Coturnix japonica: one gene and its partner. The main gene of each other region encodes a partner of the protein of the gene in region 2 in a complex. Links are inferred from orthologs where the notes say so. Each region holds a gene or a part of one and is shown on either strand. Other genes may lie near its edges.

The links.
Region 1: MKS1 (region 2) and TMEM237 share a complex: the UniProt entries of both Homo sapiens proteins name them as parts of the tectonic-like complex. The link is inferred for Coturnix japonica from reciprocal best matches to the Homo sapiens genes MKS1 and TMEM237.

What each region holds. Positions count from the first base shown.
Region 1 is NC_029522.1:9,998,862-10,003,043, reverse strand, and holds the start of TMEM237 (transmembrane protein 237), read left to right. Parts: upstream 1-1,344; 5' UTR 1,345-1,387; coding exon 1,388-1,417; intron 1,418-1,485; exon of another isoform or gene 1,486-2,135; coding exon of another isoform or gene 2,136-2,153; intron 2,154-2,502; coding exon 2,503-2,534; intron 2,535-3,572; coding exon 3,573-3,583; intron 3,584-4,182. UniProt on the Homo sapiens protein: Component of the transition zone in primary cilia. Required for ciliogenesis.
Region 2 is NC_029534.1:112,268-115,799, reverse strand, and holds the end of MKS1 (Meckel syndrome type 1 protein), read left to right. Parts: intron 1-402; coding exon 403-510; intron 511-999; coding exon 1,000-1,133; intron 1,134-1,695; coding exon 1,696-1,778; intron 1,779-1,860; coding exon 1,861-1,958; intron 1,959-2,413; coding exon 2,414-2,517; 3' UTR 2,518-3,002; downstream 3,003-3,532. UniProt on the Homo sapiens protein: Component of the tectonic-like complex, a complex localized at the transition zone of primary cilia and acting as a barrier that prevents diffusion of transmembrane proteins between the cilia and plasma membranes.

The sequences.
Region 1 (4,182 bases), on a different chromosome or scaffold from region 2:
TCAGACTGCCTCTGCTGCTCCCTGTCACACGGCAACAACAGGGAACGGAATACTGGTAGGAAGGTTCACCTCCATCACCTCCACTGCCATACCACCACCATCTGCTTCTGACATTGTGGGCCAGCACAATGAAATAGCAGGTGTTACTTTCAGAGCAGCCTTCATAACATATGCAGTACAGTTACTGTATAAGAAATCAAATGTTCCAGTGTTTTTATTAAAACATTTTTATTTTTTTTTTAAAGAGTAACGAAAACCTCAAACCAATGGGATGTGTTCTTGTTTTTGTGAAGCTCAGCATGTGGTAAGAGAGGGCTTAAAAAAGCCTGGTAAAGAGATATGATGACCAAACTATTCTTTGGAGTGAATGCCTGATTGCAGCTGTTGGAAATTCACAGGTTATACATTTGTGTCAACTGAAAATGCAGTCATAAACATACCAAAACATTCATGATTCTTTGTTTGGTTTTTTTGTTTGTTTGGTTGTTTTTTTGGTTTTGTTTTTAAGTTGAGTTAGTGCTGCACTGCATCCTCCATGTCCCACACCAGCCCAGGCAGTGCTGATTGCACACCGATATGTGGTTGTTGTGAGCAGTGGGTGCACACCTGAGGTCACTTGGGCTGCCACAGTATTTTAGCAGGGCTTGGCTTTTATTCCATCAACTCAAGTGACTGAAAACTGACAAAATATGGATTTATTATAGAGGAAAATCATATCCAAAGCCCCTTTTCTTATTGGTTTGAGTCAAGGCAGCACGTTCTCTTCACCAAAGAGTACAGTGACTATGGCTAACAAATTCCTCACTCTCTTCATCTCACATTACAGGTTTATTGGACTCAGAGGAAACAACTTATCCTGTCGGCCTGGTTCCTCCTGGAGAAAATCTACTGGAGGAGGTTGCGCTGCCTATAAAGAAGTTATTCATGTAGTAAGCCTGCTCTTGCAGCTAGCACTGTGCCAGCTTATAGTGAAGTCAGAGCGGGGTCCTTGGCAGGAAACACACTGGAAAGCAGAGCCCTGCATGGCCCTGGAATGGGGTGAGTACAAGCAGCGGGAGCCGGGCTGGTGCATGAGCTGGTACTTTGCCCCTCGCAGCAGCGGGATGTACATTGAAAAGCAGCTGCCAGAAAAGCACAGCATCGGGTGTTCGTTCCCTTTGCAGTTTGATTTTCTTTTAACTTAGAGCTTGTCACTTCATTTGCAAATAGTGTCACTCATAACGAGGCGAACGAAGCCGGAATCCCGGTCTGTTCAAGGCCTCGCTTTCCCCGTCGCCGCACTGAGGATACCGGCTGTGCCGCCGAGGAGCGCGGCCGTAGCGGCGGGGCGGGGCGGAAGCGAGCGGCGGCTCCTCCCTGCGGGGCTCGGGACGGCGGCGGGGGCGGCATGGCGGAGCCGCGGGCGGGACCCGAGCGGGTGAGGGCGGCGGGGCTCCCAGAAGGGCGGGGGGGGGGCCGGGCCTAAAGCCTTCCCCGGCCTAGGCCGCGCTGTGGGCGTTGGCGGCGGTTCGGTGCGGCGGTGGGTGGGGGGCTTCGAGTTTGAAGAGCCGGCCCCCGTTGTGCCGCTGGGGCGGCCGTGGGTGTGTCTCGTCGGAGGGTTCCCGTGGCCCTGCTCACCGAACGGCACCGGGGGATGGAGTCTCCAAATGGCCATCTCGTGCAGCCGCCCCCTTGCTGTGGCCTGCGGTGTGCTCCTCCGGGCCATGGGCAGCTGCAGCTGAGGGCTGGAGATCTCTGCCATATCCTAGATAATTAACGATAGTTATCGCTCAAACGATGATGAAGGCAATAATGAGCCCCGAGCTAAACTTCGCTTTAAGCTTCCTCGTGCGGCGAGTCTCACTTAGCAGGTGAAAATCCCCGAGCAGAGCTCACCTGAACCTTTACCAGCACATAGAGCAATGGGGTTTGGGGCAGGTGCCATTTAGGACAAGCTTTGCTGCCAGAGCAAACCACCATTGATTCTAGCAGGAATAGTGCTGGGCACTGGCCCAGGGGCAGGGAGGTTTACAGCCAGCTAATCCGGGCAGCCAGAAGCTTATTTTTAGTTCAGAATTAGCAGAGGTTCAGCGTGAGCGACGTCAGGAGTGGAGAACTGTTCACAGTGCCTCTTCCAGGGAACTGCTTCCAATGATATGGGGAAAAAACAAGTGGTAAGTTGGGGGCCCTTGAGCTTTACTGGTCAGGCAGGCTTTTGTGTTGTTGGTATCAACTGAGTTCTTGTAATGTAGGAAATGTTTAATGCTATACTTCTTATGTATTATTATATAATACAAAATCATCCAGTGCAAGAACTGCATTTCAGATTGACAATAGGAGATATGTGTTTCTTACTCTTTATGTATTTGGTTGTGTATGAGAACCTGGTTTCAGAAGCATAACATAGATAGTGTGAGTTATTATTGCCTCTGAAAGCAGCTGTTCTCTGTGGAGTGGTTTAACAGACCTCGGGATGATTTTGCACTGTCAGAAGCTGACTTCTGTCTCTCCGTTATGTTTCAGCGCCCTCCACGTGCCCTCCCCCCAGTGCCAAGGTAAGATCAGTTCGTTCCACAGGATTGATTGTGGTTCTCTACTGCTGTGTTTTTAAAGGAAATGAAATGAAAGAAAATGAGTTTGAGTATCTGCACAGTCACAGTAGCTTTTTAAACATTTGCTTTTCTTGCTGCTTTGTTGTTCTAGAATCCCTCACAAGAATTATAAAGCATTTAACGTTTTTAGAGGCTGAGAAATTGACTCATTTTTAATTGAAGTTTACCTCACTTTTAATATTCAGGAAGATTAAACCTTTTAAAGTCTTAGACAAACATCAACTTCAGTTTTATTAGCATCTGTATCAGTTTTACTGATGTTTCTCTTTTCACTTTCTTCTTCCTTAACTCTTTGTTGCTGTTGTTTTGCTACATTCTTTGGTACGTTTAAATCACAAATCCTTCAGGACAGGGATTTTTGAAATCAAGCTAGGTGTTATCAAATGGAGACACAGGTGTTTATCAGTTTGACATAATATGGAATCATAGAATTGCTTAGGCTGGGAAAGACCTTATAGATCATCGAGTCCGACTGCATCCAGAGAAATCTGGGCTTTTTTCTTTTTTCCAGCATTTTAATGAGCAGTGTGGAAGGAAAAGCAATTCTACGGATTTTTATGGCATGATATGTCAGAATTCCTTCAAAGTACCTTAGGGCAAATGTGATGTTCATGATTGGCAACATATAAAGGTGTATTTTTAGTAATGTGTATGTTGTAATGTTTCATAACTTCTGTTAGTTTGTTACATGTCAGGCAAGTTTTAATTAACCAGGTGATTATCGCTTTTAATCTGATCTATAGCTGGCCAATCAAGAAACTGCACAGTCACGGACAGTGTTGAGTCTGGATGATTGCTTTGTACACTTAACCCTTTTGTGTACAGTTGCCAGTAAATAAACGTGGGAATGGAAATAAGGGGAATAATGAAATGAAAAAGTAGAGAGAATGTCACTGTTGTGAGTTGATTAAAAACTAACTCTCTTCTTACCTTTGCTCCTTTGGCGCTGCTCTTCAACACCTTTTCTCATTAAACGTGAAGTGGAAACCAGGGTGAGTTATTCTGTCATCAGAGAGAGTTGTAACCATCTATATAGTTCTTGTGTCATTTTATCCTCTCTTGAATCATAGAATCATAGGATTGCCTGGGTTGAAAAGGATCACAGTGATCATCTAGTTTCAGCCCCCCTGCTATGTGTAGGGTTGCCAACTGCTAGACCAAGCTGCCCAGAAGGACTGAAGGATTGATCCTTACACTCTTCCTAAATGCATGCAATCATGGGTATTCAGACTGTTGTTGTGAGAACTATCTGATCTTTTGTTCTTCTTACTAATTGCTAGTTCTGAGTTAGGGCAACTGTAATGTTGTCACTGTGTTCTGAAGAGTTCTCTGAAGTTTATTCTTCAGAGTATCATTCAGGTTTTCACTTAACATGTGCATGTGTATATTTAGCCTCTGTTACACGTAAGACAGATAAGTTATTTTGCTTTCCTGCTATCTACTGTACTTTTCCTGTTTCTGAACATTGGTGAATTGTCACCTGATCTGTAAAAGCTGAAATATGTCCTTGCTTTTAAAAAGGACTCTTTCTTAATTTGGAATGGTATGGTTGTTAAAAAAGGGAAATGAAGGTTTTTCCATGCTGTGCACA
Region 2 (3,532 bases):
CTTGGAGGCCTGTGGGACAATCTAAGTTAATAGTCCCCAACAGTGATGAGAAAGATCAGAGATAAAAAGGCTCCTCTGTGCTGCGTCAGTTGTTTGCAGATTGTCACAACTGCCCAAAGACAACTGAGGAATCACTTTGACGATTCTCAGAGACTCACCAAAACAAAGGTTTTTTCAGTTCTTTAACTTTTTAGCCCTGTGTTTTCATCCTCAAGTCTGATGCTTCATCTTTTACACAGAAAAATAGTCATGCATACCCCACATAGAAATAGGTTTGTCATTTTGGGAGAAGCAGAGAAAGGACTCCTTGCTAGTGGGATTGAAGTGTTGAGGAAGTTTTTCTCTCTGTGTTGGTCTCCCTCTTCACCATTCAAAAAACTGATCTGCTCCCTTTCCTTGCAGAATGCCTCCTGCATTGGCCCGTTCTCTACTTCGAGGTTCTGTCCCTGGATTTCTGGCAGAGGTATCGTGTCGAAGGTTATGGTTCTGTTGTGCTGCCAACATCTCCAGGTAAAAAACCAAACATCTTTGGGGCAGTATGTTAAGTGTGTAGGGAAATAGGAGTTGAGTGGTTCTCTTTGGAACAGCTGCACCTAATTCTGGGAGGCTTCACCGTGTCATTTTGAAATGAATAGTTTGCTGTCTGTGAAGCAGCAGAGTGATGTGATGTGTCTGCACCTTCTGCCATGATGAGAAGCATTGTGTTTTGCTGTACTTGTTCTTCCAGTGGTTCTGCTGGAGAACTGTATGTGATAAAGCTCTGCATGTCCATCTTTACAATAGCAGTAGGCCCTTTCTGTTGTGTATGTAATCCCAGGCTCACAACTAGTCTAACATCATCACATAGTAAAGGGGATGGTGTCAGTGCTGGCTGTGTGGCTGGGGCTCATTGGAAAAACCTGGGAATCAGTGGGTATTCATCAGTAGGTATCCGTCCACCATGATGTCCTCTATGACTGTCGGACAGTACTGCTGAACTGTTCTGTTGTCTTGGCTCAGGTCTCCACGTGCTCACCATCCCGACCTGGCGCCCTGTAGAGCTGGGTACAGTTGCTGAGATGAGGAGATTTTTCATCGGTGGGTCTCCTGAGCTGGAGGACGTGACCTATGCCAGGATACCAACAACCTTCAAGGTAGGCTTAGCTGTGGGATGTTGCTCTTGCTGGGAAATGGTGGATTATGCTCTTAGAATCAAAGAATCATAAATTATCCCAAGTTTGAAGGAGCCCAAAGGATTATCAGTTCCAGCTCCCTGCTCTACACAGGACTACCCACAGCTAAAGTGCATGTTCTGTGTCCAAACACTTCTCTAACTTCAGCTGCTTTGATGTTCCAGTGGCTCCCCTGGGAGGCCCAACAAGCCTCTTAGAGAAGACCTCTCACCATCTTTGTTGCTGTCCTTTGGAATCTGTTTAATAAGCTGATGTTTTTCTCCTATTGTGGCACCCAGACTGAACAAAGGGCTCAAGATGGAACCCTTCCCCCAGCACTGTATCTTCCCAGTGGTCAGGTCCTGCCCTCAGCACAGCCTGGAACTGTCTGCTTGTCTCTCTGACGTCAGTTTCTGTTTGAAGCAGTGCAAGGAGTGATTCTGTGCCTGCGGGAGTGCTTGTCCTGGTGGGGCACACTCGTTGGGGTCAGCCTGCTGTAATAGGTTAGAGGCTGTAGGTACTCTAACTTGTGCTGTTTTTGCAGGGAAAGCATCTGAGCCGCTTTGGTTTTCGCACAAAGACAACAGGGAATGTCACGTTCCGGCTTTACTGCCTGCAGCAATCCAAGTGAGTGCAGCAAAGTGAGCACAAGCTCTGTGTTGTGTGCTGTGTTCTTCCAGCCCTGACCTCGAGCTGTACTTCTGTGCAGAGCCTTTCTGGAAACTAATGCCCTGAGGCATCGCATGCAGAGCGTTCTGGACCGGCTTGGAGGCCTCAGCCAGCAGAGCTCTGTCTACAATGTTCTGGGTAGGACCTTCAGTCTCCTTCTTCGAGGAGGACCTTTGTCTCACTTTTACCTCCTGTTTACAGGTTGGTCAGGGTATTTCAGGAGAATCCATTGCTTGAAGTGGAATTATCCCCCACTGTGAGCTCTCTCTGAGTTAAAACAGAAGTTAAATGTTCTGACCTGACATTGCTGGAAATTTGAGGAGGCATCAGCCCTGAGCAGTCAGAAGGGATACTCGGTCCATGAGGGCAAAGCCTGGGCTGGGCTGCCCAGTCTTGCACTGAACATAACTTGTGGCTGCGGTGTGCAGAGTCAGTCTCTGATCCATTATGCGCAGAGCAAAGAGCAGCAGCAGTCAGGTGGTACTTAGTGAGACCCCTGTTCTGAGAGGTGATGTGCACTGGACAGACTTGTCCTTCCCGTTCCCTGCGGCTGTCTGATGTGTTCTGACTTGCTGTCACCTGCTGTGTTGCAGAGGCTTTCCATCGGGCTCGGCGGCGGATGCAGGAGGCCCGTGAGAGCCTTCCCCAGGACCTCATCAGCACTTCTGCCTCCAGTGTGTGGAAGAACCCTGACTGACAGACTGACAGACCGACAGCCTCACTGCCTCTGGCCTGGGGGCAGCCCACATCTCTCTGACAGAAGCTCCCAGTGCCCTGAAGCTCTTTGAGGCCCTTCCTTTGCAGACAGGGGCAGAGATGCTGCCCTATGTCTCTCTATAGCACATCCATACTGAGAATCGTTTCCACAGGTGCGCTGTTTGAAGGCATTTTGTTACCAGGCCTTGATGTTAGAGCCAGTTGTTCATGTTTCTGCTGAGCTGACTAAAATACTGACATGAGACACGTGAGCTTTTTGAATATTGAATTGTAGGCAATGAGAAAATTTTCAAGTCTACTTGACTTGATAGATTTACTTTTCTTCTTAAAGAAGAGGGTTATGTTGAAGGTCAGGGCATGAATGTTGTTTGAGATTTAATTAACTGAGTAGTGAACTTACTGATAGTTACCATCAGCATTTGAAGCTTTAGGTCAGTTTTCAGTAAAATGAATCTGACCACCTGAGATTTAAAACTGATTCATTCCTAGAGAAAGGGAGGGGTCTTCATCGCATGGAAACCAAAGCAAGGAAATTATGTGTGACAGAGGCCAGACTGGAGAAGAGGGTTCTGTTCTGTATTTCTTTTTATCTGTGGAATTTCTGGCTCTTCTGACTGCAAGGATGAGCAGAAGGACTTTGGGAATACAACTGAAAATACATCTTCTCTTTAGTTCATAGAAGAGCTGGGCTGGATGTTGCAGATGAGAACAGATTGTGACATTTGCACAGCAGCTGAACTTTGAACTGTTAAGCTCTTCATCTGAGCTGCAACTCATTGCTTGAGCTCAGCAATACACTGCATTGCTTCCTGGGGAAGCATATGTTTACACAGTTTTTACTCACTTTCTTCTTCTTTTCTCAGCCTTTTTTATTCCCCTATTTTTGTTCCTGTCTCACGTTCACAGGACTGGGGCTACCTGCAGACCCACAGTGATAGGAAGAAAAATATCACACAGGGCTGAGTGCATCTGAAAAGCCAGAATTCGCAGGCAGG